5 linked regions of the Cricetulus griseus genome follow. The protein of the gene in region 1 interacts with the protein of each later gene in a biochemical or structural test. Links are inferred from orthologs where the notes say so. Each region holds a gene or a part of one and is shown on either strand. Other genes may lie near its edges.

Region 1 (6,828 bases):
GCGCGAGACTCTATAGTAAGGCGTTTGGAAAATCGGCGCGGGAAGTGTGCGGCAGAGGACGTAGCGACGGAGGGTGGATGGGTGGGTGGGTCCAGGGTGCTAGCCAATCAGGGAGCCGGCGTCTCAGGCCACACCCCCTTTGCCTGTTAGCGGCGCTTGCTTCGGCTCCTTTCCCGCCGCCAGCCACGCTTTTTTTGAGCTGTGAGGGGGCGAGGCGGGGGCGGGGCTTCCGTCGCGGGATCCTAACCAATCGGCGCTCTCCGCTTCGTAAGAGACAGCTCCAGCAGCCAATCGGCCCGCCGAGACTCTTCCGGGGTTCGCTTTTCCCGCCACCGCGGTGGCGGCCGTTGCTGGCGGCGCGCGCGCGCGCGGGGTTTCCGTGGGTGAGTCGGCCGCCCGCGCCCGGGTTACCATCTTGATTCCTGCCGTGGCCACGCCAGAGGGGCGTGCCTGGCTGGGGTGTCACTGACTGGGCGGAGGTAGTTCGGGTTGTCGCTTCAGGGCCTCCCTCCTCTGCTAACCGCGGCCCAGGCGAAGGTTTGTTGACAGGGAATCTGTGGGCCGCCGGGTCAGCCAAAGATGGTCGCTCCTCACGGGGAGCAAGGGTCGTAGGCGTCGGCGCGGCTGACAGGACGGAGTTGACTTCCCTGTCAGCGGCTCGTGGCATCTTTATAGGTAAAAAAGAAAAGGTCTTCCCAGGCAGTTTTGAGGTTTTTGGTCGTCAGACTGTCCCTTCACGAGTAGCTCTCTGGCCTCGTAGCTCCCGAGAGAGGAGAGAGAGAGAGAGAGGAGAGGAGAGAGAGAGAGAGAGAGAGAGAGAGAGAGAGAGAGAGAGAGAGAGAGAGAGAGAGAGAGAGAGAGAGAGAGAGAGAGAGAGAGAGAGAGAGCAGGGTTTATTTTGGTTGAGGTGCCAGGTGCGCTTCCTCATTGTCAAGTCAATGAGACGGACGTGGTTGTGGGTGTGGGGAGATGCAGAGGCGGCTCCCCCGCTACCATCTGGAGTGTAGGGGAAAAAAAGCGTCTTGCCAGGGAGTTACATTAGGCAAGTTTGACTTGGAGCCCATCTATGTTGTAGTTTCTCCGCCTAAAAAGAAAAGAATAGTTTATACCTACAGGGTTTTTCGGAAGAATAAATGAATTAGACAAAGTATTAAAAATAGTTTGGCCCGGGTGGTGCTGGCGCATGCCTTTAATCTCAGCACTCAAGAGACAGAGACAGGTGGATCTCTGTGAGTTCGAGGCCAGCCTGATCCACAGAGTGAGTTCCGGGACAGCCAGAGCTGTTACACAGAGGAACCCTGTCTAAAAAGAACATCAAAACCTGGAGTTTGCACAAGGCCCTGAGTTTGATCCTCAGTAGCTCTCTGAGATCTGTGTGTCAGAGGTTAGAAGACAGTATATTTCATGTAGCAGTTTCTCAGCAACCCGTGCCTACACACGGGCCAGGCCTGGTTCTAAGGAAGGTGTCAGATCCTCTGGAACTGGAGTTATGAACTGCTGTGAGGGTTCTGGGAACTGAACCTCTTGAAGAACATGGCAGTTATCTTAACCACTGAGCCGTCCCTTTAACCGCTTAACTTGAACTTGCTATTTATTATTATTATTATTTATTATATTATTATTATTATTATTATTATTTTGTTTTTCTAGACAGGGTTTCTCTGTGTAGCATTGGAGTCTATCCTGGTACTCACTCTGGAGACCAGACTGGTCTCAAACTCAGCGATCCGCCTGCCTCTGCCTCCTGAGTGCTGGGATTAAAGGCATGCACCACCAAGGCCAGGCAATTTTATTATTATTTTTTATAAAGAGGTCCTAATATGTTGTCCCAGCTTACCTGGAACTCCTGGACTCAAGCAATTGCACTGCTTCAGCTTCCTTCAGCAGCTGGAACTGTGGACATACACTACCTCGATCCAGTTTATCATGCTTTTATATACTTTAAATAAAAGTACCCATTTTGGGGCTGGAGATATAGCTCAGTGGTAGAGCATTTGCCATGTGTGAGCCCTAGGTTTAGTTTCCAGTACCTAAAATCCCATGTAACATTCCTTTGTATATAATGTATATATAATGGTATACTTGGACCTTAATTCTTTGTCATGACCAAAAGTATAAATATACACATACATAATATTTTTGTTTTGTTTTGGGGAGCAAGGTCTTACTGTAACCAAGGGTGGTTTCTATACCCCACTCTTTTGAGACAGGGTCTAACTAGTAGCTCTGGCTGGCTTGGAACAGACTACATACACCAGGCTGGCCTTGAACTGACTCCTGCCTCCCAAGTGCTATAATCAAAGGCGTGTGTCACCCACCATGCCTGGCCAGGTCTCCAACTCTTAATATTCCTGCCTTGGGATTTCAGGTGCTGGAGTTACAGATATATGCCAACATCTTTTAATCAAAAGTTTTGTGTGTGTGTGTGTGTGTGTGTGTTGTTTTTAGACAGGGTTTCTCTGTGTAGCCCTGGCTGCCCTGGAACTCACTATGTAGAACAGGCTGGCCTTGAACTCAGAGATCTGCCTCTCTCTGCCTCCCAAATGCTGGGGTTAAAGGTGTGTGTCACCACTGGCTGGCCCCCAAAAAAGTTGTTTTTTTCCCATTGATAGTACTAAGTGTTGAACATATGGCCTCACATAGGCTAGCCAAACATTCTGTCACTGACATTCTTACTATCCATGCCCCACCCCAATATTTTTACATGCTTCAGAATGACAGAAAAGCATCACCTCATGGTGGCGCACACCTTTAATCCCAGCACTCAAGAGGCAGACACAGGTGGATCTCTGTCAATTTGAGGCCAGCCTTGTCTACAGAGTGAGTTCCAGGACAGCAGAGAAACCCTGTCTGGGAAGAAAGAAGGAAGGAAGGAAGGAAAGGCAGGCAGGAATCACCCCCACGTCACTCCACGTTCCTCCAGGGTTATCTCGTTATTTTTTCTCTACAAGTGTGTGTAAACCAATGACCAGAACAATGATAATGTGTTTCCCTCACAGGTCATGGAAAACACCCAGGTTATTGACTGGGATGCTGAAGAGGAGGAGGAGACAGAAATACCCAGTGGGTCCTTGGGGTATAGCTTGGAGCCTATAGGGCAGCTGCGTCTCTTCAGTAGTACTCATGGACCAGAAAGAGGTCAGGAGATATTGGGAGCTGAATGAGTATTGGGTCTTGTCTTCTCCTTAGAGGCAGTTGGATCATTGGTAAACCTTATGTATGTTTCTAAGAGGATAATAATTGTTGTACTAGGGATGACAAAGAGGCCACCTGAGTTGACTGTTCCAGGCGGGTACCCTGTACTTTCTGGGAGTGTTTTTCTTTTGTTAGGAGAAAATGAAGAGCTCCGAATAAAAATAGAATGTGGGAGCTGAAGAGATGGTTCAGGGACTAAGAGTGCTTACTGCTCTTGAAGAGGACCTGGTTTAGGTTTGCAGCACCCACATGGTGGTCAAAACCACCTGTAGCTCTGGTTCCAGGGGATCTGATGCTCTCTTCTGACCTTGGGTACCTGAACATATATGGTGGACATAAACTCATGCAGGTGCACACATATACATAAATAATGAGTAAATAAAAAATTTATTTATTTTGAGACAGGGTTTCTCTGTCTAGCTCAGACTGTCCTAGAACTCAGAGCGATCTGCCTGCCACTGCCTCCTCCTGAGTGCTGGGATTAAAGGTGTGTGCCATCACTAAAGGGCATAAAATTTTTAAAAGGTAAAATACATTGTGGCCTAGAAATGGATATGTAACACAACTGAGCAGTATACTTACAATGATTGCGATGGTTAGATTTATATTGTGTGTATTGTTTTTCTTCGAGACAGAGTATATATGTAGCCCTTGCTGTCCTGGAACTCACTATGCAGACTGGCCTCAAACTCACAGAAACCTACCTGCCTCTGCCTTTCAAATGCTAGAACTAAAGTCATGTGCTAATATGCCCAGCCTATATTGTGTATTTTATTACAATAAGAAACTCCCTTTGGGCATGGTGGTGCATGTCTGTGATCCCTGTACTCAGGAGGTGAGGTTGAGGATAACCTAGGCCACATAGCAAGTCCGAAAACAATCTGGGTTACATAGTGAGACCCTGGATCAAAAACAAAGCAAGGGCAGTAGCTCAGGGAAAGAGTGCTTAGCTAGCATGCATGAAACTGTTTTCGGATCTGTTGGAACAATACCGATGAGGTGAGTAGATAGAATATTACAGCAAAGTGATGTATTGTGAATGCTCTTCTACGCTGGTGTGCCCATTGTTCTTAACCCTGTGAGAGCTTTGAGTGAGCAGTAGGTACCATCTTCATTCAGGCCAGGACTCTGCCCTTACTCTTTAATGTTTCTTCTTCTTTTTTTTTTTTTTTTTTTTTTTTTTTTTTTAAGACAGGATTTCTCTGTGGCTTTGGAGGCTGTCCTGGAATTAGCTCTTGTAGACCAGGCTGGTCTCGAACTCACATAGATCCACCTGCCTCTGCCTCCCGAGGGCTGGGATTAAAGGTGTGTGCCACCAACGCCCAACTTAATGTTTCTTCTTGATCCTTAGATTTCCCACTCTACCTTGGCAAGAATGTAATTGGCCGAAGCCCCGACTGCTCTGTGGCCCTGCCTTTTCCATCCATCTCTAAACAGCATGCAGTAATTGAAATCTCAGCTTGCAACAAAGCCCCTATCCTCCAGGATTGTGGGAGCCTCAATGGCACTCAACTGGTAAAGCCCCCAAAGGTCCTAACCCCTGGAGTGAGCCATCGTCTGAAGGACCAGGAATTAATTCTGTTTGCAGACTTTCCCTGCCAGTACCGTCGCTTGGATGTCCCTCCACCTTTGGTCTCTCGGGGACTTCTAACTATAGAGAAGACCCCCAGAATACAGGGAGGGTCCCAAACCTCCAGAGTTTTGTTGGCTGAGGATTCGGAGGAGGAAGTAGGTAAGTTTGTGCCTTGGGTGTATGTGTGTGAAGAGACAGGAATGAGGGTGTAAACTGTCAATTTATTTCTTCCTGTTCTTGCCAGATTTTCCTTCTGGAAGGTATGTGGCAAATGGATCAAGGAATCCAACGTCTCCATCAGCAACAGTAGTACCAGAAAGGTGAGTAGCAAAGTACCAGATGCCTGGATCTTTTGTTTTGTTTTGTTTTTAAACAGTCTCTGTAGCCCAAGCTGGTCTTAGACTCCTGGCAGACCTCTGGGTTCAGTATCAGGATTGGGACGATAGGGTTGAGCTTCCTTAACTGGTTTTAGACACCTCGGCCTTTGAATAAAGAGTCGGTCTTGAATAAATGAGGTGATTATCTTGACAGGTGGAGCCGAGAGCCTAGGCATAATTACTTCCTCAGCTGAATTAAATTATGAAGAGTACTTGTGGTGTGCTCAGTGGGGATGGGAAGACACCTGGCAGCAGTGCCTGCTCACTCTCAGGGCCCTCACAGCGGAGTGGGGTGGCCTATCCAGGGAGTACATTCTGTGGGCTCTCTGTCTTTGCAGTGATGAAGAGGGGTCTTCTCCAGCCCAAAGTGTCCGTGGGCCGTCTTTGCCCTTTGACTTGGGCAGTGACACAGATGAAGAGCTATGTCCACAGCCAGCAGTTGGGGAGTCCTCTTCAGTTGCCAGGGATGGTGCTGCTGCAGAGGCCAAGCAGCTGGAAGCTAATGGAGTGACATCTGGTATCCAGCTGGTACTGGCTCAGCCTGCTGAGCAAAAGCTCAGAGATGCAAAAGTCAAGAGTGAGGCTGGCAATGGAGCGGCTGTGGTTGGGAGGGGCTCCACTGTGGGTAAGGACAGCAACACGGAAATGGGTGAAGAACACCAGCCTTCCGGCTTTGTGGACAGCGATACAGACGTGGAAGAAGACAGGATCCCTGTGACCCCCCCTGTAGTTCCGGGGAAGAAGCAAGTCCTGCTTGGAGTTGGTAAAAAGGACCCTGGAGCACCTGTCGTGACCCATCTGCAGGACAGCCCAGCTGGTCGTGGCACAGGTGTGGAAGAAGGCAAGACTCCAGTGGCTGGCCCTCCAGAGAGAAACCACACGGCCATGGTGATCAGCAGCGACACAGATGAGGAAGATGGAGTCTCAGCAGCAGTCACCTTGGCCCATCTGAAAGACAGGGGGATGGCTCTGTGGAGCAGGGAGCCAGGCATGGAAGAGGTCAAGTCCCAACCACAGGTCCTCGTAGAACGAAGCCAGAGTGCCTCTGGGAAAGACAGTGACACAGACGTGGAGGAGGAAAAGAGAGAAGTGGTCCCTGACAGCCCCATGGACACAGATGAGGCTCTTACTGTCCCACATTCAGAGAGCCAAGCTCCCCATAGAGCCAGTGATGATGTAGACCAGGGTGTGGATATGGGCTCCCCTGGTGGTCAGCTAGAGGGAAACCAGGCCTCCTCTGCCACAGTAGAAGACAGTAGTGCACAAGCAGGGAAGGAAGTCCTGCCTCCTGAGGAGGCCTGGGAAACAGCTGTGGAGGAAGGCTCATCTTCAGCAGCGGCAGATGTAAGACAAAGCAAGCAGCCAGGAGTAGAAGATGCTGGGACAGAGTGGGCTGCAACTGTTTGTGAGCAGGCGAGCATGCTTGAGGTGGGGGTCCAAGGCAGGTCACCTGCTACACTGGTAGAGCCAGTGGTGGTGCCTACAGCTACTCTGGGGGATCCCACTCAGCCACAGAGAGAGGGAGCCCAGACCCCCACAGGAAAGGAGAGAGGAGTACAAATGGGCAGGACCAAGAATGCCAAAGACTGCCGTGATGGTAAGTGCTGCTCTCTGCTCTGCCCTTGACCCCTGAAGTAAACTGGCTGTAAGAGTCAGGAGAGAACTGTAGAAGTCTGAGGGTGA
Region 2 (6,589 bases), on another chromosome or scaffold:
AAAACTTCTGTTTTCAACTTCTAGTCTAGTTAAGAATACAATATTTTCACAGGTCAGAATCCCCCCAAAATAGTTTTTGTCCCAGTTAAGAAATGAACTTGCCATAATTAATAAGGGAAAACATTAAAAACAAAAACTTCCTTAAAAAAAAAAAAGAATATTTTACTGTTCTAAGTGATACTCTAAACTTTGGGCTGTTGCTCATGCAATTTCAAGTCAAGAATACACCTCCTCTTTTTTAATTTCTTAGGTTTCAAATTCTAATTGCTCAAAAAGCCAGTCCCCATTTTTTTTTCTGACCTACAAAGCTCTCTCTTTCCTGAATTCCTTTATTAGTATCTATGTAATTAAATGCATAGTTAACATCCAATTGTTCCTGCTAATCATTCTTCATGTTCTCAGGACTAGAACCCAAGATGAGGAATTATGTCTCCATAGTTTCACAAGTTATTTCCAACTTCTTTTCTTCAAAACAGAACATATTTTTTTTTTTTTTTTTTGAGACAGGGTTTCTCTGTGTAGCACTGGCTGTCCTGAAACTCACTCTGTAGACCAGGCTGATCTGCCTGATTCTGCTTTCCAAGTGCTGGGATTAAGGGTGTTCATCACCACCAGGCCAAAACAGAATTCTTAAATGTCTTCTTTTGAATCTGCCCCAATCCTATCTGGTAGAAAAGCATTTATTATTTTTCTAGGGAATTAGTTTTAGCTTGGGGGAGCTATGAATTGTTTTGACACAGCATCTCACTATGCAGCCTTGGCTAGCCTGAATTCACTATGTAGACAGGCTGGCCTTGGACGAACAGAGATCTACCTGCCTTGACCTTACAAGCCTCACAAGTGCTGAGATCAAAAGGCATGTGTCATCACAAGCAGCTGGATTTTTCATTTTTTAAACAGCACCACTGAAATAAAATTCAGGCAGTCATTTTTGATACCAACTCCAGGAAGACAATCCCCTCCCCATGTTTCAATGGTTCTACTTTCCAAGTTATTTCCTGAATTTCTACCTCTAAAACCTTTATCTACCCTTTTCCTGTTCCACTGCTACTCTAGATACCTTTGCTTCTAAGACGACAGGCTTCTCTTGACCATGATGCTTCTCACGTAGCAGCCATAGTATGGTACTCTTTGAAACATTATTAGGTGACACTTGGGGACATCTTATCCCAAGTCAAAAGTACTCTTTCACTATTAAATAAAACTCTAAGCTGGGCGTTGGTGGCGCACGCCTTTAATCCCAGCACTCGGGAGGCAGAGGCAGGAGGATCTCTGTGAGTTCGAGACCAGCCTGGTCTACAAGAGCTAGTTCCAGGACAGCCTCCAAAGCCACAGAGAAACCCTGCCTCGAAAAAACAAAACAAACAAAAAAAGCAACAACAACAACAAAAAACCTCTAAAAGGATGACATGAATTATGGATGGATAATACCCAAACTCCTTTATTTTGTTTTGGTTTTTGAGACATGGATTTATGTAGCTCAGGCAGACCTTGAACTCCTTATCTTCCTGCCTCTAGTTGGAGTTTCAGATGCAGATTAGCATGCAAGGTTCTTCCATCTAGTTCCTCTATTGCACAGTAAAATCATTTTCAAAAGGCTTGTCTACAATTTCATCCAATACATCTGTGAAGCTTCACTTACAGCAATAATTGATACAGCTTTATCAATTGATGCAGCTATATAAAACACCTGCCTCTTAAAACAACAACAGCTTTCAGTGAAATGGCTCAGAGGATAAAGATACTTGTCACCAAGACTGACTGACACACACATGTACACACAGTAAATGAAAGTTAAACAAGACACCATACCAACAAAAAAATGCCACTTTTACAGGCACCCAAATTAGTACTGTGAATGCCTTTAATCCCAGCCAGGGCTACACAGTGAGACTGCCACAAAAATCAATCTGTGCTTTGAAATATCAAAGATTATTTTGTAAAGACTCAAATATAAAGCCAGGTGCCTGTAATTCCAGCACTTGGGAGGCAGAGGCAGGTGGATCTCAAGTGAGTTCGAGGCCAGCTTGGTCTACAGAGAAAGTTCCAGGACAGCTTGGAACTGTCCCACAGAGAAACCCTGTCTCAAAAAACAGAAGACTCAAATATAAAGCAATGTTTTTTCTATGAGTGCTAACTTGGGGAGGGGCTTATATTTAAGTCTATATGGCACATTTCACTGGGTAAAAATTTTAAGGAGGGGGGTAGGAACAAATAGTTGTGCATTATTTCTGTCAACTTTTTCCTGTGCCTAGATCACCAGGAACAAAGTAAAGAAAATATTCTCAACACTATTTTCATCCTGATATATGGAATGAACAATTCTTAAAACAATTATCTTAGCATCTCTTTACTTTTTTCTTTCATACTAGCTCTTTCTCATTTTCAACAGCATTCCTGCTCAAAGTTAGCTAATTTCTCCCACTGCTAACTGCTCCTTTTGTTGTTATTTTGTTTTTGTTTTTTGTTTTTTTTGAGACAGGGTTTCAGATAGCCCATGTTGGCCTTGAACTTGCTCTGTAGCCAAGGATGACCCTGAACTCCTGATCCTCCGGCCAACTATAAATTATTCTCATCCCCTCACACCCCAAAACTTCTTACAATTACCCTAAAATCTAATGGAAAAAGTTATTATGGAGGAGAGGGAGGTAAATTCCACAGTACTTTAAAAACAAACAGGAAACCTGCTGGATTCTATCTTGCTTAAACAATGTATTCTACACTCTCATGGTTTTCTAGAAGTTAAAAATTTTTAAGTAGTAGTTTACATGCTGTAAACTATCATATCACTTTAGAAGCCTTCTGGCTCCAGAAAAGCAGAAAAGTAAGACAAAACTACAATATGAAATAAAAACTAATTATCTGAATAACCTCCTTATCCGTTTAATTTCATGTTAGGCCTCAAAAGGGCCTTTTAAGGGACTCTACACTAGGAAGAGAAATCTGGAAAGAAATGCAGCTTTGGAAGAATTGATACAACATACAGAGACATGGGCTGGGCAGTGGTGGCCCACGCCTTTGATCCCAGAACTCGGGAGGCAGAGGCAGACAGATCTCTGTGAGTTCGAGACCAGCCTGGTCTACAAGAGCTAGTTCCAGGATAGCCTCCAAAGCCACAGAGAAACCCTGTCTTGAAAAACAAAATAAAACAAAAAAAATAAAACAAAAAACATACAAACATATGTTTTATGTACAGTTCCGAAGATATAATCCAGAATTATATTAATTCAAATACTAATAGCTGTCACCATGTAAACATCTGGAGATGAAGTTCAACTAGGGAAACCGTATTTTAGGCTGCGATGAGACATTAAGGAAATGCTGTACTGACGTACTGAAATATTAAATATTTGTTGTCAGTCTTACCTAAGGCAATTCGCAGCAATTTCTAAAATCGGTTTGATTTATAACTTCAAAATAGCTTATGGCTTAATGATTGTAATTTAATGGAGGCCAACTGTGGTCATGTCAAAGATCATACGGTGGAATGAAACATCTCCCAAACCTGGTCCACCACCAAAGGACAATAGGTTCAGTTTCTTCAGATGTGGCAGGGGGGAAAATGACTTGGCACTGCATCACATACTTCAAAACCCAATAGGCTTTCTTCTGACAACAGCACCGTGTGCGTCAATGCATACCTTGGTGTGGTTAAGGAATGGACGAATGGTGAAATGGATGGGAAAGCAATTATCTCTAATTTCCTAAACACCTTCTAAATCAGCACGGTAAAATGCCTCCTGATACCCATCCTAGGTGATGGAAAAAATCCAGACCTGCCCTTTCGTCCACTCCCCTGCTGGGGTGTTTGCCCCGCAGCAGTGGGCCTGGGAGTTCCCTTCTCAGGTCGTCATTGTCCGGTGGGAAATCCACGGAGAACTGTAACGTGGACAAGAAAGTCTGCTCCCGAAACGAAAACCAGTACCGAAAATACGGGTAATTTTACGTCTTCCTTCGACCACCTCACGTAAAACAAAAGCAAGGAAACACCAGTAAACTTGCCCCACGGGTGTGAAATCCCACCAGCTCGGCTCAAAAGCGCTTCTGTGTCGACCCCCGGGACGCCGAGCACTCGGAGCGCCGTCTCGGGCGGCCCCTCGTCTCCCACCGCGGGCAGGAACCCAGACCAACAAGAGGGGGATGGCCGGACGCCAGGACCGACGGAAACGAGTGATTCCCGCCGAACCCGGCTGGCACAACAGGCGAGAAGTAATGCGGGGCCGGGGCTAACCTCGGCTGAGGCCGCGGGCAAGGCCTCGGGAGTGACGAAAGACAGGTAGGGGGCTCGCCGAAAGGGAGGCGGGAGAAGCGGGGCCTAGGCCGCAGCAGGCCGCGGAGTGGCTGCTCGCCGCTTGCGACCCAGGCATGGCGCCAGGCCTCGGAGCAGGCGCTAGTATTACCTGGACAGGTTCCTGCAGCACCGTCATCCTTGAGGCTCAGGCCCACTTTCTGCAGTGCCTCAGGCCCCCCCCGTAGCGACTCCGGCCCGGCCAGCCCCGGCTCATTTAAACTCACCAGCGACCGTTACCGGGGGATGGGGGAGGCCGAGTGGTTGCCGAACTCCTCCGAGCGTGACACGGAAATACCCGAAGTGGAGAGAGCCAAACGAGAGCGAGACGGAAAAGCCCGAGAGATGTCGGAAATACTCGAGGTGAGCCTCCGGAGGCGGAGTCTGTGGCCGGAAATTGGCGAGTGCTACCGGAAGTTGTTGGGTTGGGCCCAATCGGAAGTTCCTCTTCTCAGCCACGCCTTCGCCCTACGCACGCCACGCCCAATTGGCCACGCTAGCTGGGCCACGCCCAAAGAGCTACTAGTAGGATGGGCCTGGAGGGAGGGATCCGGCCGGCCGGAGTTACCTGTGGGACTGTTGGTCGGGGTAAGCGCCTCCGCCGTTCCCTGTTGTGCACGGTAGATTCAGCGAGGGGTAAAATACTAGTCTGGGGCTGAATTCAATAAAGTCTTTTGAGTTTAGGTCATTATCCACTCCTGGAATTCCTACTCAGGCCTCTGAGGAAAATCGAGGGATAATTGGAACATTGCCATTCCCCAAATATATAGGATTCCTGTATTCAAAGAGATACGGTCTGTTGCAAACAAAAACGCCTAGGCTGTGTACTTGCCTAGCATGCATGAAGCCCTAGGGGTGATCGCCAGTGTCACCTAAACATTGCTCTCCTGCTTTGGGAGGCGGACGCAGAAGTATCTAGAGTACAGGATAATTAAGAACAAGATAGCGAGTTTGAGGCAAGCTTGGGCTACCTGACACCCTGGCTCATAATTGAAAAAAAAAAAATCAGTGTAACTGAGAATTTCGTTATTTGCAACTTGTTCTGGGTGATGTAAAACTTCAACTTCAGAGAAGAGGGAAGTAAATAGGGAAATAGGGATTTAAATGATGGCTGTAGTTACAAACACTAACAGAGGGTTTAATGTCTGCTTTTTGGCCACATCCTCAGAATAAACAAAGGAACTATTAAAATCTCCCTTTTCGTCAGACAAGGAAAGCTTCTGAAAGTTAACTTTCTGTTGGGACTCCTCTGAGCTAGATGTGAAACTGGAAATCTCCTTTTTCCCCTGGATACTGAGGATCTAACCTCTCATTACTGGTAGGCTAAGCAAGTGATCAACAATTGAGCTACATCTCCAGCCCTCTTGTTACTTTTTTTTGTTTTGTTTTTATTTTAAAGTATTGAAGGTACCCAGGCTGTCTTTGAACTTTTAAAACCTGCCTCAGCCTCTCAGACTACCGCTGGCACCAGTCCTGGTTCTGGGAATCAATCAATCTCAGTCCCCCAGCCCCTCATTTCCACATTGTGTACAGATGATACAGTTAGCATTGTCATTTTAGAGATGCTGGGGGTTAGTCATCTAATGGTAGCCATCCTTTTCCTCGTCCCCCTTTCCTTCTAATAGATCCAACTGTCTCCAGACATTGCCTACATACTTGTTAGTCCCATGAAAGATGGGTGCTAAGGCAATTTCCAGCCGGCCCATGCCCTGTTCTTTTAATGGGATTGTGTTGGATGAATTAGAGTGGGAATAAACATCCGTGCTGGCCTATATAACAGTTGCTCACTATTTAAAGTTCAGTTTAAACCAAATGAAATTCTTCAGATATTCTAGTCACATCCCAAAGACCTAAGTCATTGACATAACTAGAGTTGTTATTGAAATAGCTAGAATTGGAGGACAACTTTACCCGTGAGTCTAAGGTCTTGCTAATATCTGGGCCTCTCGATTCTCCCCAACAAAACCTTTTTCTTCATACAGTGATTGCTCACCAGTCAGTGGCCTATCCTAGCTTGAATTGGTGTCTGTCAAGCAAGTCAGTGAAAACAGAAGCTTTGAGGCCCCTTCAAGCCTAGATCTGAAAGTCAAATCCATTGTTGGTCAATTTAAGACACAGGATCAGCCTGGATTTACCAGGAAAACATGCTCCATCTCTTGATGAGGGAATAGCAAAGCAACTCTGCAAAAGATATGCGCAATGAGAGGGATTGGTGGGTCATCTTTGATCCCCCACCACCACCTGGTACATTGATTTCTCCCCACCCCCATAATTTTGCAAATGCTAGGCAAACACTACCAT
Region 3 (6,093 bases), about 28 Mb from region 1:
GTCCCGGGGTAGCAAGGGCAAGAGGACTACAGGTTCTACATGGTGCCATAGTTCTTACGGGATCACACCTATGGAGAGAGAGACCCGCACAAACCAAGAGAATGCCGGTCAGGGTGAGGATTGACCCTCCTTGGCCTGTGTATAAGAGAAGCCTGCCTGGTGATACGCACGGATGGACCCTCATCTGGTATCGAAGGGAACCCTTTAGTAAACTATCTGTCCGAGTGGGTGAAAGGGGGAAGGAATGGTTAGCGGACTTCCTGGTTATTCCAGAGACAGAGCCCTGCAGAGGAGGGGGCTAGGGAAGACGGGCAGGAACAAGGGGATGGTCTGCGTTAACATCAGGGTGCTTCATGGTTGTTAATGGAGCAGTGCCGAGGGAGTTCTTAGGGGGCTGAAATAGAACCATTGTATTCTAGGACTGGACATTTCTCCTCTGGATGCTAAGTCAGGGACAGTTTCAGAACAAGGTGCTCTCCCAGTCTTCTGTACTGTGTTCCCCAGTGGCAGCCAGGCTGTTTCCCCTCAAGTGGAATATGGAATGCTTCCTCTAAAACAGCTACTGAATCTGGGAATGGTCAGTGAATGAGGATGGTATCCCTGAAGATCCCCCCCACCACACTAGTCCTTAGACCTGCACATTCTCCATTGAAGAGTTTGCGTGCTGTGGTGGATATGTAGAGGTCAGGACAACTTCAGGAGTTCTCTGCTCCACTGTGGGCCCCGGTAAGAGATGATCACACACAGAAATGAATCGGGAAACAGACCCGAATCTCAGAAGACGGTCACTTCTTTCCCTACAAGTTTATGATTAGATAGGTCTGCCAGGAAGTGTGACGAGTGGGAACCAGAGCTTTGTTTCTGTCTTCTACAGACCCTCAAGCCGTTGCTGTGGGTAAGTGGGGACCTAGGGTCAAGGAATTTGGTTGGTAGACTTTGCAAAGTGGGCATCCATGTGCGTATGGGTGCCTGCAGGGGCCACAAGAGGGCACTGAATCCGGATTTGGAGTTAAGAGCTCTCTCTAATCCCCATTTTATTTTATTTCCTTATGTCTTGACTGGAAGTTCAACATCAACTGTCGTGTCAGTTTCCTGGAGACTAATGCTAAAGGAACATTATGTCTGTCTGTCTGATGACAGATTTAAAGAGTTAAAGTCTCAATGAGGCAGTGTGCTAGTCTGAACAAGCAAGATGAAAATGAACAGAAACCAGTGTCAGGTCCTCCATATGAATTCACATTTACCAACTCGTCATAGTAATTTGGGGGAAGGAAGGATGGAGAAACAAGAGTTATTTCTCAGGCCGAGGACACTGTGGCAGTGTACTGGAGCGCCATGAAAGTCAGACCCACACATCAGTCGGTAGCCATGCCTAGAACTGGGAAAGTGGTCCATGACTTGACTTTGTAGACCAATTTAAATTGATTTTCTTAAATAACAGCTATCACAATAAACACAGGCCCTGGGGACTCAGGTAAAATGGCTGGGAACAGAGGGCCAGGAATAGTGACTTGGAGGCTACTTCACAGCTGTGTGTAGAAGGAGATTGGAGATTTCCTGATGGACTCGGGGCAGAACCAGGGCCAGCTAGAAGAATTTCCAGAGAAAGGGATGCTAAGCTGGGCATTTAAAAAGCCGAGACCTGTCTTACTTGTGTGATGGATGGATGCCAGTGTTGAAGACAAACCGATGGGAATGGGATGGTAGAAGTGGATGACTGACCGACCGTTCAGGGCTGTGGTAGCCTGAGAATTCATATCAACTCTTCCTTATTTTAAGTGATTATTTTATGTGTATGCCTGGTGCCTGGGGGTGGGGGCAAGAGGTAACACTATAGCAGAAGAGGGCATCGGGTCCCCTGCAGCTGGGAATTGTGGATGGGTTATGAGCCACCATGTGTCTGTTGGGAAGACAAACCTGGAAGAACAGCCGTGCTCTCAGCCACTGAGCTCTGTCTCCAGTCCTCCGTGGTTAAGTGTTGCCTTTTTCTCTCTGGTGGCTCCCTGTGGCCGCTGAGGAGGGAGAAAACAGTGGATGAACAGTTGAGGCTCCTCAGATGTCTGCTTCCCTAAGTCAGGGCCTGCGTGCTGCTGGTTGGTAAGACGGTGAAGAGCCTCCCTGTCTATCATAGTGACTGACTGTCTCTCACGTTGCCTCTGTCTTTCAGGTGACTATAGGACGAGGATTTGGTGTCACCTACCAACTGATGTCAAAGGTATGCCCTCTGATGATTTCCCGGAACCACTGTGTTTTGAAGCAGAACCCTGAGGGACAGTGGACAATCATGGACAACAAGGTACTGGAGCCCATGCGAGCCTGATGGCTCTAGTGAGGGTTATGTACTTGATTTATTTATTTTTGGTTTTTTGAGACAGGGTTTCTCTCTGACTGGAACTCACTCTGTAGGCCAGGTTGGCTTCCAACTCCCAGAGATCTGCCTGCTGCACATCTTTAATCCCAGAAAAATTTACTTTTCTTGACACCTGATAGTTGTTCTCATATAATATTCAGAAGTGTAGCCACGCCCACCTGTTCTCTTTCTAAGTGCGGCACTTCTGTGTGCTGCAGGAAGTTAGATTGTGCAAGATGATTGCTAGTGACCTGGAGCGAGGGCTAAACCGCCAAGAGAGAGTCTAGAGTGGAGCTGTGGCTCCTTTTCCAAAAATTAGACTATATTTCTGGAGAAATTAGCCCCTTTGAAAGGCAGCAGTCAAAGATTCTGGGAATCTGCCTAAGCTTATGGGGGACGGGAGACCTGGGGCAGAGAGAGAGAACCCCTGCAATGCACTGCTTTTTGCCTTCAGTACACACACACAGACCTCCACACATCTCCATACAAATACACGTGCACACACTACACACACCCGCAAACTTATACACACATCTACATACACAAGACACTCCTACATGTACCCCCCCACATACACGGACACACCCCTACACACATACACACCCAGGTCTCCATACACACCCCTACACACAGACACACACACTCTCCTCCACACACATACACCTACACCTATACACACACCACACATATCTACATACACACCCCTGCACACAGACACACCTATATGCACCCCCCACACACACACACTCTTTCTCCTCCACACACACACACATCTGCATACACACCCCTAAACACAGACACACCTACACACCTATACACCTACCTCTTCACACACACCTACATATACATACATATACACACCCCTACACACACACAAATACACACACATTTTCTCTCCTCCACACATACACAAACCCCAATGTAAACTCTCTCTCTCTCTCTCTCTCTCTCTCTCTCTCTCTCTCTCTCTCTCTCTCACACACACACACACACACACACACACACACACACAAACACACACGCGCCTTTAAAATAAACCCGCTTGGGGCTGGAGAGATGGCTCAGAGGTTAGGATCCCCAGCACCCACATGCAGCTCACAACTGTCTATACCTCCAATTCCAGGGGACCCGATACAGACATACATTCAGGCAAAACACTAATGCTCATAAAATAAAAAACAACACAAAACAAAAAACCTGCTTAACTGTTCGTGTTCTCAGAAACATTTTACTTTGAATAAAGGCTTTTAATATCTTTTTAGATTTATTTTATTATTGTATTACTTACTTGCATGTGTGTCTGTGTGTATTGTATGCACATTTGTGCACAGGTGCTTAAGGCCAGAAGAGAGGTTTGGGTTCCTCAGAGCTGGAGTTACCCACAGGCGCTTGTGAGATGCCCCACATGGGTGCTGGGAATTGCTCTAGGGTTCTCTGGAAAAGGAGCAATGCTGAGTCATCGTTTGTTCCCTTTAAATGAAATTTAAAGTTGCCAGTCCAGTGGGAAATATACAGAGTCCAGCAGTTAGGAAGCCCCTAAAGTGCAGATGTCCAGGCACCCAGGGATACAATGGAAGTAGACCATGGGATGGGGGCCTTTATTTTTAATGGGGGTCTTGTTATGTGGTGTAGACCAGCCTCAAACTCATCTGACACTCGGTGATTTCTACCTCTGTGCTGTAGAATCTGGCATCTCAAGCCCTATGAGTGTATTTTGTGACTAAGTCTCACTGCTTGGAGTAGTAGTTCTGCAGGTCTGCTGGCATTAGCAACAACCAGAGTGGCCCTGACTTCTGTTTGCTGTTCTAGCCCTTACCCGGCAGACTTGGCTTTTATGTGTGTGGGAACTCTGTCTCTGTATTAAATGTCTGTGTACGACATGCATGCAGAGCCTGGGGAAAGCCAGAGGGAATCAGAGTCCCTGGAACTGGAGTTACAGATGGTTGTGAAACTCCTTATATGTGCTGGGAATTGAACCTGGATCCTCTGCCAGAGCAGCCAGTGCTCTAACCCGTGGGCCACCTCTCTAGCTCTGGCCGAGGACATGGTTCAGTAGGTAAAGCACTGGCCACACAAGCTCGAAGACTAGAATTTGGCTCCCAAAGCCATGTAAAAGGCATCCGAAGTATCGAGTGTCTGTGGTCCCTGTGCTCCTATAGCAAGTTGGCAGGGAGAGACCGCCTCACACCGAAGTGGGGTGGGGGTAGGGGGATGATGACAGGAGGACCCCAGAGCAGCAGGTATGAAACTGTCTCACACCAAAGCGGGGGAGGGGGGCTGCACATGACTTAGACACATTCAGTGGTAGTATAATAAAATTAAGGGTTTCTATTCTTCAAAAGATAGCAGTAAGACAAGCACAACCCAGAGTGGAAGTGTTTGCTGTGCACATAACTGATGAAATATGATCATGTACGTACAGAGAGCTTCAAATCAGATTTTTTAAAAAGACAGATATAACCCAGTTTCTAAAACAGACTAAAAGACAGGCACATCACAAAAGAGTGTACCAAATTCTACTCTATAGCCACGAGAAGTTGTTGGAACTCAGTGATGAGGGAAATGCAAATCAAAACCACGAGGGAATACACTGGCTAGGATAAGGAATGAGTACAAGCATCTTTCCTCTTTGGAGGGAAGGTAACTTGACACACCTACTTTGAAATCCATAACTCATTCAGTTGTACATTTTATGTTTAGAGCTCATTTCTGTCTCTAGGAAGGAAACACTTGCAATGCCCACCCACGGTAGACTGTATAGAAGAAAGAGTATTTCTGCAATCAACACTGCTGTATTGAACATGGGTACTTCTTACAGACATGATACTGAGTGAAAAGGCTTCCCAGCAAGTTGCCAGGCATGCTAATATGTGCCCGTAGTCCCAAAATTTGGGAGGGTAGAGCAGGAGATTCCGTGCCAACCTGGGCTGTGTAGCCAGACTGTCCCAAAGAAACAAAGTAGGTGAGTTCAAATGTGACCAGCTGTGTGTGGCAGTGTGTCTTTAATGGTAGAGCTGGGGAAGTGGGTAGAGATGAGAGCTCACTGTCCATCAGTCCAGCCTGATTGCTGACCTCCAAGCAGTCAGAGACCTTGCTCTTTTACCTCTACATTTCCCTGAGATCAGTTCCCAGCACCCGCCCCAGGTGCCTGGCATCATCCACTTATAACTCCAGCTGTAGGGCTCCTCGGCCTCTGTGGGCTCTTGGCACTCAAATGCACACACACACACAGAGAGAGAGAGAGAGAGAGAGAGAGAGAGAGAGAGAGAGAGAGAGAGAGAGAGAGAGAGAGAGAAGAGAGAGAATGAATTTAAAATAATAAATCTTTTTAAAAAATGAAGTCAGGTATGGTGGTACATGCTTTTAATGCCAGCACTGGGAAGGCAGAAGCGGGCATATCTTTGTGAATTTCAGCCCAGTCCCAGGCCAGCCAGAGCTACGCGGTGAGACCCTGTCTCACAAAAAGCAAAACAAAAGTAACAGCAAGGGAGAATGGTGCTGGAGAGATGCCTCAGTGGCTAAGAGCACTTCCTGCTCTTGCAGAGGACCCAGGTTCAGTTTTGAGCTTGTACATGGTGGCTCACAACTGTTCTCAGCTCTGCTTCTGGGAGGTCTGCTGCTGTCTTCTGGCCTCCACAGGCACCGGTGTACACACAGCACACAGACACACATGGAGGCAGAATTATGCACACATCAAGTGTGGTAGAGAGCGTAGGAGGAAGGGGGGATCACTGGAGCTGCTC
Region 4 (5,883 bases), on another chromosome or scaffold:
ATGAAGCACATTTACTTACATAAAGTGTGATGCTTACAACAGTTCCCTTCACCCAGATGTAAGCAGCTGAGCCAGAAACAAATCTCAGTGCTAAGTGTCGGTCCTCTTACTAACCGCAGGTTGGAAGATGATTCAGTCACATGGTACCATCTTCCCTTTACAGACTCAATCCGAAGACGGGCAAACTGGAGATGAGCTATTCCAAGTTCAAGACCAAGAACCTCTCTTTCTTGGGCACCTTTATTTTAAAGGTAACAAGGTAACAAGGAGGTAAGGCCCCAGGCCACCATCCTTCACTTGAGAAAAGGGAATCCCTGGTCTTTTCAGACCCGAGGGGAGTTTGGAAACATCAAGAAGATCCCCTGTGGATGAAATGTGTAACTGAAGTTGTCTTCACCTCTGGCCCCTCCAGGTAGCAGAGCGCCTCCAGCTAGTGACAGTTCACCGAGGCGAGAGTGAGGATGGTGCCTTCACTGAATGTAACAACATGACCCTCATCAACTTGCTACTCAAAATCTTTGGGCCCATACATGAGAGAAACCTCACACTGCTCCTGCTGCTTTTGCAGGTAACACTGAGGGTGGGGTAAATTATGTAAGTGTTCTTATCTCAAGTTCACCTTGGTTCTTATTCCAGTCCATTTCTCCTTCTAGATCCTGAGCAGCGCTGTCACCTTCTCCATTCGATACCAGCTTGTCCGACTCTTCTATGATGTCTGAGTTCCCTGAAGACTGACTGCCCATAGCCTCCGTTGGACCTCACCCAGGACCAACCTGTCTGGTCCAAGACTGCCTTCTGGTCCAGGCCTCTCCAACTGTTGGTTTTTTCAGTTTTGTTTTCAGCTTCTCCCATCACCTGTAATGATTATTGGCCTGGACCTTATTGGACTTTAAAGTCCATTAGTTGCACTTTGCCCCTGGCTTTCTTCAGCTTGCTACTCTTCCCCTTTCTGTCCCATCTGCAGCACCATAAGGGGGATGTAGCAGCTCTTATGCAAATACAGCTCAACTTTCAGAGCCCTGCATTTGCTGGACCTTGAGAGAGAACCTGGGCTATGTGCTAGAGTTAGGGCCCTATACTCCAAGGTAACCTCACATTTGACTTTAAAATTAAGTGTTCTGATTAGGAAGATCAGAGGCAGGGCCATGTGCTCAAAATGGTGACAATAAAGGATTGTCTTTTACTTGCTTCTCTCCCTCAACCTCTTTTTCTAGCCTTTGAGATACTTGAGGACTGAACTCTTTTTTTTTTTTTTTTTTTTTTTTTTGGTTTTTCGAGACAGGGTTTCTCTGTATAGCTTTGGAGCCTATCCTGGCACTCGCTCTGGAGACCAGGCTGGCCTCGAACTCACAGAGATCCACCTGCCTCTGTCTCCCAGTGCTGGGATACAAGGCTTGTGCAACCAACATCCGGCCTGAGGACTGAACTTTGTTAAGTGCTCTACCACTGAATAAATCTATACATCTATCCCCTATTTATCTTTCGTATGGGCATTTTAGGATCGATTGGAAGGGTTGGGGTGGGTACCCTTTCCAAGAGAATACCTACCTCTGTTCCATCAGACCCCTTCCTGCAAGAAGTGACAGAACTGAAACCAGACAGAACATGTTGAATAAATATTAAAATACTAACTTGTCGTAGCACAAAGGATCACAGCACTCAGTTTTCTGGCATAGGATTGTACTCTCAGGTTTCATTTCTTCTCCTTTAAACCCTCCCTTTGCCAAATTTGAGGAGGGCGTGGGAGTGCCCCTGACCTGGAAGGAGAACTCTTTCCCTTTTTAACTTTTGTTAAAATGTTTTTCGAAACAGGGTTTCCCCTTGTAACCCTGGCTGTCCTGGAACTCGCTTTGTTACCAGGCTAAGCTTGAACTCAGAGCTCCCCCTTCCTCCGCTTCCTGAGTGCTTGAATTAAAGGTGTGCACCACTATCGCTCGGCTAACCCTTTTACTTTAAAACCCTTGGCCGGCCCAGATTTCCCAGAGACAGTCATGCGCCTCCAGACTCCACCTTCCTAGTCTTCCGGTTCTGGTGGCGCGCAATAGCGTTTAAATTTCGCGCGCTTAATAAGGATTGGCCACTTCCATGGATGATTAGCCTGCTGTTTGCGGCCACTCCGCCTTGCTTTCTTCCCCGGGTAAAAGGTTTTCAAATTGGACCAATCGCTGGGCGAGCTCTTTTCGCCTAGGCGCGTCACCGAAGGGTTAATTCCAACCAACCAGAGGCCGGTACTGGGGAAAAGAGCCAATCAGGGGGAGGCGGGGGCGTGTCCATGGAGTTTATAAGGGCGAGCTCGCCCGCGCGCGGCGACAGTTGACTGCGGCGGTTGGCAGTTTTCTTTCGTCGTCGGTGTTGCTCTCTGCTTTCTACCTCGTATACGATGTCGGGTCGCGGTAAAACCGGAGGCAAGGCCCGCGCCAAGGCGAAATCGCGCTCCTCGCGCGCCGGTCTACAATTCCCGGTAGGCCGCGTGCATCGGCTGCTGAGGAAAGGCCACTATGCCGAGCGCGTGGGAGCCGGCGCCCCGGTGTACTTGGCGGCCGTGCTCGAGTACCTCACCGCTGAGATTCTGGAGCTGGCGGGCAACGCGGCGCGGGACAACAAGAAGACGCGCATCATCCCGCGCCACCTGCAGCTGGCCATCCGCAACGACGAGGAGCTCAACAAGCTTCTGGGCGGCGTGACGATCGCTCAGGGCGGCGTCCTGCCCAACATCCAGGCCGTGCTGCTGCCCAAGAAGACGAGCGCCACCGTGGGGCCCAAGGCGCCGGCGAGCGGCAAGAAGGCCACCCAGGCCTCTCAGGAGTACTGAGGGAGCCCGCGCCCTGGCCGCCCAGCCCTCCCCACACCTCCACAAAGGCCCTTTTAAGGGCCACCACCTCCCTCACGGAAAGAGCTGAGCCACTTAGGGCTGCGGGCCGGGCCGCCGCGTTCCCATTCTCTTCCCCTTTCTCTGCCATCGCGCGTTTCTGCCTCCCCTTCCCTGCACGGCCTCCGGGTCAGGCGCCGCGGTACTTATCCATCGCGGAGCTTCGCCGGTCTCCGTCTCGATGGGCCGCGCGGAGAGGTTGCGACACCTTCCAGAAGTGTCGGCCTTTTGCTGTGACGTACGGCTGAGGTGGGCCTGAAGGTGAGTTACTCTGCAGCTGCAACCCGGGCGTCCTTTCTTCAGCTTGGTGCTTTAGCCCTCGCCTGGACCTTCCAGAAGTGACTTGATTACCAGGCTTTGGTGAAGAGAAATGGATCATATTGTTTGGTCCTGTGTTTTCCCCTTCGTTGGCCTCATACCAGTTTACCCCATCTTCGTTCATCGGCCGGTGTGTGGTGTGGCCGGGACAAAATCACTGTAATATGAGCTGGTTTTCTCCAGGATGCCTCCTGGAAAGGGTTTGGGAGAAGCTTACAGGCCTGTGGACAGAAGAGCTGTGTTCTTGCCGCAGGAGACTGGCAGCCGGGCCTAGCTATCCCCTTTTCTTCCCAGCGACTCAATTCACAACCCAAACACCTAGATACCAGCACAAGTCGGTGAATCCCTATCTGGACTGAGCCTCTACTGGCTTCTGAACTGGAATTTTGCAGCTATCCCAAGTTTAGAACCTTAGGTAGTGGGGAGTTTCAATGGGCTAATTTTATTAAATGGTTGTTCTGTTTTTTTAAAAGATGGAGTGTCTTGATTAATTTCGAATTGCTGTAGGCCCGGGGTTGGGGTTCTATAGCTCCGTGGTAGAGCCATGTACCTGGCATGTGTTGTGTTGGGAGGTGGGAGTGGAATTGTAAGTTCCCTTAGAGCAGTGGGGATGGGCAAGACTGTAATACAAGTAGGTTCTGTTAACTGAAAACAGGCAGGCTGTAGGAATTGAGGCAGTTTTCTCTTTGCTCGGTGCTTCCTGGGATGCATTCTGAGAACATGAGGCAATTAGAAAGTATTTCAACAGAGAAGTCCCAGACTCAGAATTCAGGTTTAAAAGGGCTTTGGGTTTATTTATATTTTCCCCAATTCCACCAAAACAACCACATTGAGAGCTGGTTTAATATTAGTGGCATTGGTTACATTCGAGATTGGCACTGACTTTTTCTAAAGAGATGAAGCCCTAACTACTGAGGAGGAAAGGCGCAGTCATCAAGGCCCCAAGGTGATTCGTGTCTCTGGAAGTCTCAACACCCTGTGGTTCAATCTCCTGGGCTAGTCACCCTCTCCAAGTTAGGGAGCACAGAGCACTTGAAAGCCAGATGTGGGCACTAGAAAGTGGCAGCCAGGTTCCCGTAACCTATAGACCAGTTAGTGCACATCATTAAGCTGCCGTGCAACATCCAGGATATTCTTGGCTCCTTTGTTAAGCAACAAGCTGGCCAGGCTGATGCCCAGGTTTTCAGCAGCTAGCTGGGCTCCTCTTGGAATGTTCCGGGCAGTGATTCCAACTAGTTGGGGGTCGTCCTCTGGACCATCTTCATGCTGCATGACACAAGAGTTACAATTTGGTGAGAGGGAAGATGATACTTCTGTTTATTCCTCCCTCATCTCCCAGTCAGTACCTGCACAGGGACCTGGATGGTAGTCTGCATGGTCTCTTGCATGCTATCTGAGCCGTCTAGGCTCCACACTCCTCCAGTCAGGTACAGCTAGGACACAAAATGGGTTGTACCGGCATATTCAGGAAAAGTTGCTTACATGTTTGGGCGCACACAGAACTGGCACAGTGCCTCCCTTCCCTCATCCATCTCTGCTGCTTACCTGCCCATCCCTCATCATGGTATGTACTGCTACTGGGACACTGCAGCCTCCTTCCTGCAATGACAGTCCTTTGAGCTCTAAGGGCCTTTAATACTGCTTTTTGACCACAAACCTCTAAGGATATTAACTGAAAAGGCTGCTAGGACCAGACCAAGGTCCACACTTAGAAAACAATTCCCCAACTTTTGAGCTACCACTACATCTCCCTGCTGCCCTTCCTGATTCCAGGTCCTCCTCACACCACCATAGGAGAAGCCCAAGTCTTACCAGGTGCCTCAGAAAGGCCCGTTCAGCAATGCAGCGAAGCACAGTCTCAGGATCATGCAACACACTCACTAGATCCAAGATATCCTGGTCCTTGGCTCGGACTTCCACTGCTAGGGCTCCCTAAAGGAAAAACAGGCCTAATCTTTCTCCAGTCATGGCTGAACATGGGAACCACTCCTACTTGCTTCCCAGAGTCTTCTGCTTGCCAAAGCCTGCCCCTCCCTGAATATTTTATTTGATCAGAAGTACATGCCAAAGCACAATGGCACTGAACCCAGGTTCTTGAAGGGGCACATGAAGAAAGCCCTCTCCAGGCAAACTTACCTGACCCACAGCATACATACATTCCTCTGGGTGCAAGATCTGTGGAGGCAAGACAGAACAGAAAGAATGGTGGGCTGTCCCAAAGCAGTGAGCTAAGGGAAGCCAGGGGGATGAACTCTCCCCAGCCTGGGCTTACTTCTTGGCTTGTAGCGTTATTGGCAGAATGGTCATAAAGATAGCAGGAGAGAGAGGCATATTAAAATGGAAATGGAATGGAGAAGCCCCTACCTGCCCCACCCGGTTCTGCCAGCCCATGCGCTGTAGGCCAGCCACAGCCAGGATAATGGCACTGAACTCTTGCAGCTCATCTAGCTTCCGTAGCCGTGTGTTGAGGTTTCCCCGCTGTTGAGATGCTAAGGAGAATAATGACCATAGTACATCCTCTTCCCACAGTCTCTTTCCCCCTCTTTCTAGCTGACTTTTTAAGACATTTGGACAGGATCTCACAGTGTAGCCTGGCTATACTGGGACTCACTATATAGACCAGGCTGACCTTGAACTTACAGAATCTGCCTGCCTCTGCCTCCAGAGTGCTGGGATTAAGGGCGTGCACCACCATA
Region 5 (6,093 bases), on another chromosome or scaffold:
TATACAGTCACTTTAAATTTCCAGTAGTGGGGGCTGGAGAGATGGCTCTGTTAAGATCACTAGCTATTCTTCCAGAGGACCTGGATTTAGTTCCCAGCACCCACGTGGCAGCTCATAATTGCCTGTAAGTCCACCTTCAGGGGATCTGACACTGTCATATAAACATACATTCAGGCAAAATACCAATGCACATAAAAATAAAATAGAGCCAGGCAGTGGTGGCGCATGCCTTTAATCCCAGAGGCAGGCAGATCTCTGAGTTTGAGGCCAGCCTGGTTTGCAGATCAAGTTCCAGGATAGTGAGGGCTACACAGAGAAACCCTGCTTCAAAATAGATAGATAGATAGATAGATAGATAGATAGATAGATAGATAGATAGATAGATGAAAGTAAAGATAACAAATATATTTTTTAAATTTCCAGTAGAAATATTAAAAAAAAAAAAAAAACTAGCTGGATATGTTGGTTGCATGCTATGCTGGCTAGGTTTTGTAAACTTCACACAAGTTGGGGGCATCTAGGAAGATGAAATCTCATTTAAGAAAATGGCTCCGTCCCATTGGCATGTAGGTAAATCTGTGGAACATCTTGATTAATGACTGATGTTGGAGAGCCCAGCCATTGTGTGGTACCTCCACTAGGCAGGTGGTCCTGGGCCATATAAGAAAGCAAACTGAGCAAGCCATGGTAAGCAAGCCAGTAAGCAGCACTCCTCTCTGATCTCTGCTTCAGTTCTTTCCCCGAGGTTCTTGTTTGAGTTCTTACCCTGACCTCTGTTGGTGATGGGGCTACAGCTGTAAGTTGAATAAATCCTTTCCTGGCCAAGTTGCTTTTGATCATGGTGTCTTAACACAGCAGTGTAGCACAAACTAGGATGCATGTCTATAATCTTAGCACTTGGGAGGTAGAAGCACAGGATGGTTATCTCAAGTTTAAAGCTGTACTCTTCCATAAAGAGACCCTATACAAAAAGAAGAAATTTGTCCTTGATTGATTTACTCAACAAATATTATGTATCTGTACTACCCGCCGACTTATGCCCTTAGATTCTGTAGTGACTTATTTAAAATTGTCTTTTTATTCCTTAGGCAGTCTCGACAGATAGTGCCTGATATCAACACAGAGCCCTCCCAGAACGAGCAGATCATTTGGGATGACCCGACAGCAAGGGAGGAGAGAGCAAGGCTCGCCAGCAACTTGCAGTGGCCTAGCTACCCCACACAGTATTCTGAGCTTCAGGTTGACATTAAAAAACTGGATGATTCTCCTTCTCTAGAGCCTGTGTACCATTCAGAAATTGCTGAGCAGGGTAATAAGAAATACCTGTTTGGGCCGGGTGGTGGTAGTGGCGGCAGTGCACGCCTTTAATCCCAGCACTTGGGAGGCAGAGGCAGGCGGATCTCTGTGAGTTCGAGGCCAGTCTGGTCTACAAAGCCAGTTCCAGGACAGCTAAGACTGTTACACAGAGAAAACCTGTCTCGAAAAACCTTCAAAAAAAAAAGAGAAGAAGAAGAAAAGAAAAAAAATATCTGTTTGTACTATATGCATGTTGACCTCTTAAAGATATTGTGGTTACCTGTATTGCACATGCAAATGACAAATTAAGATTAGTACTGTATAAATCAATTGAAAACTGTTTTTTGATCTTGAAATGTAGAAATTTAGGATTAGCCATTCTACAAACATGATTCACACAGCAATGCTTTCTAGCCTCTTTCTTTTAGGTAGTGTTTGGTCTTTCTCCCTGTAACTCATTTTTATTTAACTATCTGAATTCCACCCAGCTTATAGTGTGTTTGTTCTTTGGCTTTTGTGAGCTTTCCTAAGTTCCTTTTGTTTGTTTATTTGTTTCTTCACACTGGGTGTTTATCTTCCTGTGCTGGATGAAAGGAAGGGGTCACAAAACCCAGATAACACACTTGCCCTTTCAGAGCTGTTCAGTTGTGTTTATTTTTAACTTGGAGAAGTTGGCTGCTCTCTTCTTCATGTATTGCTTGTTTTTGAGGCAGGGTTGTACCTATGCAGGTTTTAAACCTTAGATTCTTTTGTCTCAGGCAGACACCTCATCTTAGCCTTTTTTGCATTGCAGACTTCATGGTTCATTATTTTGATCAAGACAAATCAGAATATTCTCTAGATTAATTCTAAATTACACCCACTATTACATGACATTTTCTTCTTCACCCTCAGCCTTGTGTGTGACTGAAGCCCCAGAACTCCCAATCTCTGATGAAGCAGAAACTCCAGCAGCGGATAAGCATCCAATCCCTGTGCCTCAACCTCCCAGCATTGCTTTCCCCTTGGCCAAGCCACCTGCAGCTCCACATCCTCTGGACAAGGTTTGTTGATCCTTGCTATGGTGGTGACAGCTTTGAGTGGTGTTCTCATGCTGGAGTAGCAATCCGTTCTCTGCATTAGCCTCGTCACTACTGAAAACTGAATTTCTTTGATTGAAATACAATTTATATATTTGTACTTTAGAAGAATGACTAAAATGTCACTATAAAATAGCTATACTGAAAATTTTAATATTTTTTCTAAAATGTAACTATTGCATTCTAGATTGAAAAAATGGAGAAGAGTCGTGAAAAACTTAAAAAACAGTATGTATTCCAGATGTCATCTCTGAATTCTCAAGAGCGGGTTGATTACTGTCACCTGATTAAGAAACTAGGTACCAGTATTTCACTTGTTTACAATTTTTTTTCTGCTGGTATTTTACTTTAAAACATACCATTATTATAACCATATTACTGGAATACAAATGCAGTCATACATCATGTGTAATGGGGAGACGTTAAGAAAAGAACATGGGTTAATTGAGTCCGCATTAGGGTTTTGATTTTATAAAGACCTAATCTGCATCTAAAACTACTAGGTCATGAGACCTAAGAATTTAAAGATTTAGCTGGGCCTGGTGACATGAGCCTCCCAGTACTCAGGATTCCTTCTCGGTGACATTACCCTTATCCCTAGCTATGAGACTTTTCCTCTGACACCTGGGATAAGCAAGCTGGAAGACCTGATGTGTTGTAGCTGGACTCCAATAGGAACAGGATGTGAGCCACCTGGGTCACACCACTCTGCCTAGTAGACACATGTTGGGAGCTGAGAAGAAATCGGTGAAAATACCTTTAAAAATATTTTTTTATTTTTAGTATATGAAAACTGTTACTCAGTATTTAATCAGCACAAAACACCAGTGAAATATTTTGTGGGGATTTTTTGTTTTGTTTTTATTCCTTTGAAATACCACCTGAATCTACACTAGTTTTTTTTCAGTTGTTTGATAGCTCTATAGAGTCAACATAGTTACTCTAAGACCTTGATCTCACAGCTTGGCATAGCAAAAGAAAACATTCAGAAATGACAGGCCTAAGCTAAGCATTGGTAATCTCAGCAGCTGGGAGGCTAAAACAGGATCTCAAGTTTGAGGTCAGATGGGGCTGCACAGTGAGACCCTGTTTGAAACAAAGGGGTAGGAGGTACTAGAACAATGGCTCTGGGTTAAGAGCACTGGTAGAGGACCAGGGTTCTAGTCCCAGCACCTACGTGGTGGGTCACAACCATCTTGTAACTCCAGTTCTAGTGGATCCAATGCCCTCTTCTGGCTTCCATAGGTATTGTACATCTCTGCTACTCAGCTATACATGCAGGCAAAACACCCATCCACATAAATAATAAAAATGCATTCTTTTTTAAATAAAGAATAGGACTGGGGGTAGTGTGGCTTAGTATAGAGTACTTGATGCATGCATATGAAGCCCAGAATTTCAAGTGTGCATGAGTTAGCACTGGAATTTTGATTTTATAAAACCTTAATCCACATTTCAAATCATTAGGTCATGGTGTGATAAAGGCAGAGATGAGGGCTGATAATTTGAATGTTACTTTTACATATCTATGTGCCAACATTTTTCATTTAGGTTGTTCATTTTATATAAGTAATTTTTAAGCATAGTTGAAATAACATGGTTTTCTAGAAGGATGGTAAGAAACCTAGTAAAGTAGAGGTTTTTCCTATATATTAATAAAATGTTCCCTCTCTACAAGGTGGGTCGGTGATTGAGAAGCAGTGCTCAGACCCCAACTGCACACACATGGTTGTGGGGTACCCATTGCGCAATGAGAAGTACTTAGCCTCCATGGCAGCTGGCAAGTGGGTGCTTCATCGTTCCTACCTGGAAGCTTGCAGGACCGCTGGGTGCTTTGTGCAGGTGTGTGTTCATGCTCCTAGAAAGATTGGTTCTTGTGTAAATGTCTCAAGAGATCCCTGCTCATACACTTACCATGCATATAATGTAAATGACCACATGGAGTCAGTCAGATTACACCAGCTGTGTAACAAAACAGAGTTTACAGGTCAGGCTGCATTACTCCCATTCTTTTTTCTTAAGTGTTTTGTTTGGTATACAAAAAAATGAGCTTCATTGTGGCCTACTAACTTTTTGTTATCTAATTTGTCAGTGTTTTTTATTGAAATGATATTCTCTTAACATGAGAAGATTCCAAGATATCTCATTATAAGCCTTTTTCTTACTGTTAGCTCATTATACATTAAAGTAATTGTCACAAACAGACCAGGACAGCAGAATCTACCCTGTGTTTCCTGAAGCTTCCGATCTGAGTTCTTTGGGAATTGTCTCAGTTCATGCTTCCTCTGACTATTCCCATGAAGCCAAATATCCTGACTATTACTAAGTTGCCAAAATACAGCTGTCTGGCCAGGGGTTTTGATTCTGGGAAATGAGTTTCTGGTTTTAATTAAAAGCCAGCTGTACTTGATTCTGTATTTTCTGTGTGTTCACAAAATGTTTAGTGTTCTCTGTATCTAACAATTGAATATACAGCTTTGATCTTAAAAGACTGAAGGCTTCTAAGAGCCAGAAGCCTGTGCCTAGCACCGTGCTCTTCTGGGTTAGAGGAACCCAGAGTTCACTGGCCTGCTTTTCTAGGAAGAAGACTATGAGTGGGGAAGTAGTGCCATACTGGATGCTCTCACTGATGTCACTGAACACCAGCAGAAACTAGCACTTGCGGCAATGAGGTGGAGGAAAAGAATCCAGCAAAGGCAAGAGTCAGGCATTGTTGAGGTATGAACATATATAATTATATGATGATTATATAGATACTACAAATAGGATTCAGTATTATGACGTGTTTTAAAGAGAATATGCTTGACCAAGTAATTCTAATTATCTTTTATTCCTTAATTGCTCTGTTTATTGTGCATTCTATGTTGAACTAAAATTTTAACTGTAGCTCTGCAAGTGCCACATGCTTTTAATTCCAGCACTTGGGAGGCAGAGGCAGGAGGATGTCTGAATACAGGACATCCAAGGCTTTGTAGAGAGATCCTGTCTCAAAAAACAGAGTATTGTGTTATACAGTAAGACATGGGTCTTCTAAAGTTAACTTGCCTTTTCAGGGTGTAGCATCAGGAGTCCTAAACTGGGTTCACAGATTCTCCCAAAGGAGTCTGCGACCCAAAGCCTATACGTTGAATAGGGAAATTATGTCCTTTTTAAAAATTAATCGATAATTGAATGCTAGAATTCCTTAAATCTAGGCAACAAATCACAGCAGTATTAATAGTTGTGATTTATATCAGTAAAAACCAGATTTATTTTTTTAGCTAGCATACAAGATGAGTTGTGTAAGAATTTTCATGCGTGCATATTATTGTACTTTGTCCATCTTTACTCTCCTACTGTCTGTCCTCTCCCACCCATTTCTCTCTGTCTTAGAGCTGGTCCCTTTCCTCTGCCCCACATAGTCGTCGACCTGCTTTCGTGCTCTATATTTATATCTTAACCTTAAGTTTTTAAAATTTTGATCCCACATAAAGAGAAAACATTATTTGTCCTTGGTCTGACTAAGTGATGATCTCCAGTTCTATCCGTTTCCCTGTGGATGACATGATTCCATTCTTCTTTACAGCTAACTAATACTCCATTAGAAGTACTGTGTTCCATATGACAGTATCCTCTTAAGCAGTATATAGGATTCCTGTTCCCCCCCATCTTTGCCAGCATTTCTTGTTAGTTATTTTCTGATGATAGCCATTTTGGCTAGGATGAGATGGAATCTCAA

Evidence for each region.
Region 2: the proteins of Mdc1 (region 1) and Cdc27 form a complex in vitro, tested with the Homo sapiens proteins (2 studies listed by BioGRID). The link is inferred for Cricetulus griseus from reciprocal best matches to the Homo sapiens genes MDC1 and CDC27.
Region 3: the proteins of Mdc1 (region 1) and Rnf8 form a complex in vitro, tested with the Homo sapiens proteins (2 studies listed by BioGRID and IntAct, with this or other methods). The link is inferred for Cricetulus griseus from reciprocal best matches to the Homo sapiens genes MDC1 and RNF8.
Region 4: the proteins of Mdc1 (region 1) and histone H2AX form a complex in vitro, tested with the Homo sapiens proteins (5 studies listed by BioGRID and IntAct, with this or other methods). The link is inferred for Cricetulus griseus from reciprocal best matches to the Homo sapiens genes MDC1 and H2AX.
Region 5: the proteins of Mdc1 (region 1) and Topbp1 are reported together in a solved structure, tested with the Homo sapiens proteins (3 studies listed by BioGRID, with this or other methods). The link is inferred for Cricetulus griseus from reciprocal best matches to the Homo sapiens genes MDC1 and TOPBP1.

What each region holds. Positions count from the first base shown.
Region 1 is NW_023276806.1:229,745,987-229,752,814, forward strand, and holds the start of Mdc1 (mediator of DNA damage checkpoint protein 1), read left to right. Parts: upstream 1-2,999; 5' UTR 3,000-3,002; coding exon 3,003-3,138; intron 3,139-4,546; coding exon 4,547-4,927; intron 4,928-5,012; coding exon 5,013-5,088; intron 5,089-5,483; coding exon 5,484-6,742; intron 6,743-6,828. UniProt on the Homo sapiens protein: Histone reader protein required for checkpoint-mediated cell cycle arrest in response to DNA damage within both the S phase and G2/M phases of the cell cycle.
Region 2 is NC_048600.1:117,571,472-117,578,060, forward strand, and holds the start of Cdc27 (cell division cycle protein 27 homolog), read right to left. Parts: upstream 4,540-6,589; 5' UTR 4,428-4,539; coding exon 4,401-4,427; intron 4,277-4,400; exon of another isoform or gene 3,590-4,276; intron 1-3,589. UniProt on the Homo sapiens protein: Component of the anaphase promoting complex/cyclosome (APC/C), a cell cycle-regulated E3 ubiquitin ligase that controls progression through mitosis and the G1 phase of the cell cycle.
Region 3 is NW_023276806.1:258,077,427-258,083,519, forward strand, and holds part of Rnf8 (E3 ubiquitin-protein ligase RNF8), read left to right. Parts: intron 1-2,167; coding exon 2,168-2,296; intron 2,297-6,093. UniProt on the Homo sapiens protein: E3 ubiquitin-protein ligase that plays a key role in DNA damage signaling via 2 distinct roles: by mediating the 'Lys-63'-linked ubiquitination of histones H2A and H2AX and promoting the recruitment of DNA repair proteins at double-strand breaks (DSBs) sites, and by catalyzing 'Lys-48'-linked ubiquitination to remove target proteins from DNA damage sites.
Region 4 is NC_048597.1:156,020,604-156,026,486, forward strand, and holds histone H2AX, read left to right. Parts: upstream 1-2,299; 5' UTR 2,300-2,380; coding exon 2,381-2,812; 3' UTR 2,813-3,655; downstream 3,656-5,883. Other genes in the region: Dpagt1 (UDP-N-acetylglucosamine--dolichyl-phosphate N-acetylglucosaminephosphotransferase), read left to right, coding at 164-251, 413-568, 654-719; Hmbs (porphobilinogen deaminase), read right to left, coding at 4,280-4,453, 4,534-4,620, 4,733-4,786, 5,000-5,119, 5,324-5,362, 5,552-5,665. UniProt on the Homo sapiens protein: Variant histone H2A which replaces conventional H2A in a subset of nucleosomes. Nucleosomes wrap and compact DNA into chromatin, limiting DNA accessibility to the cellular machineries which require DNA as a template.
Region 5 is NC_048597.1:211,574,552-211,580,644, forward strand, and holds part of Topbp1 (DNA topoisomerase 2-binding protein 1), read left to right. Parts: intron 1-1,088; coding exon 1,089-1,309; intron 1,310-2,190; coding exon 2,191-2,339; intron 2,340-2,562; coding exon 2,563-2,674; intron 2,675-4,053; coding exon 4,054-4,217; intron 4,218-4,955; coding exon 4,956-5,093; intron 5,094-6,093. UniProt on the Homo sapiens protein: Scaffold protein that acts as a key protein-protein adapter in DNA replication and DNA repair. Composed of multiple BRCT domains, which specifically recognize and bind phosphorylated proteins, bringing proteins together into functional combinations.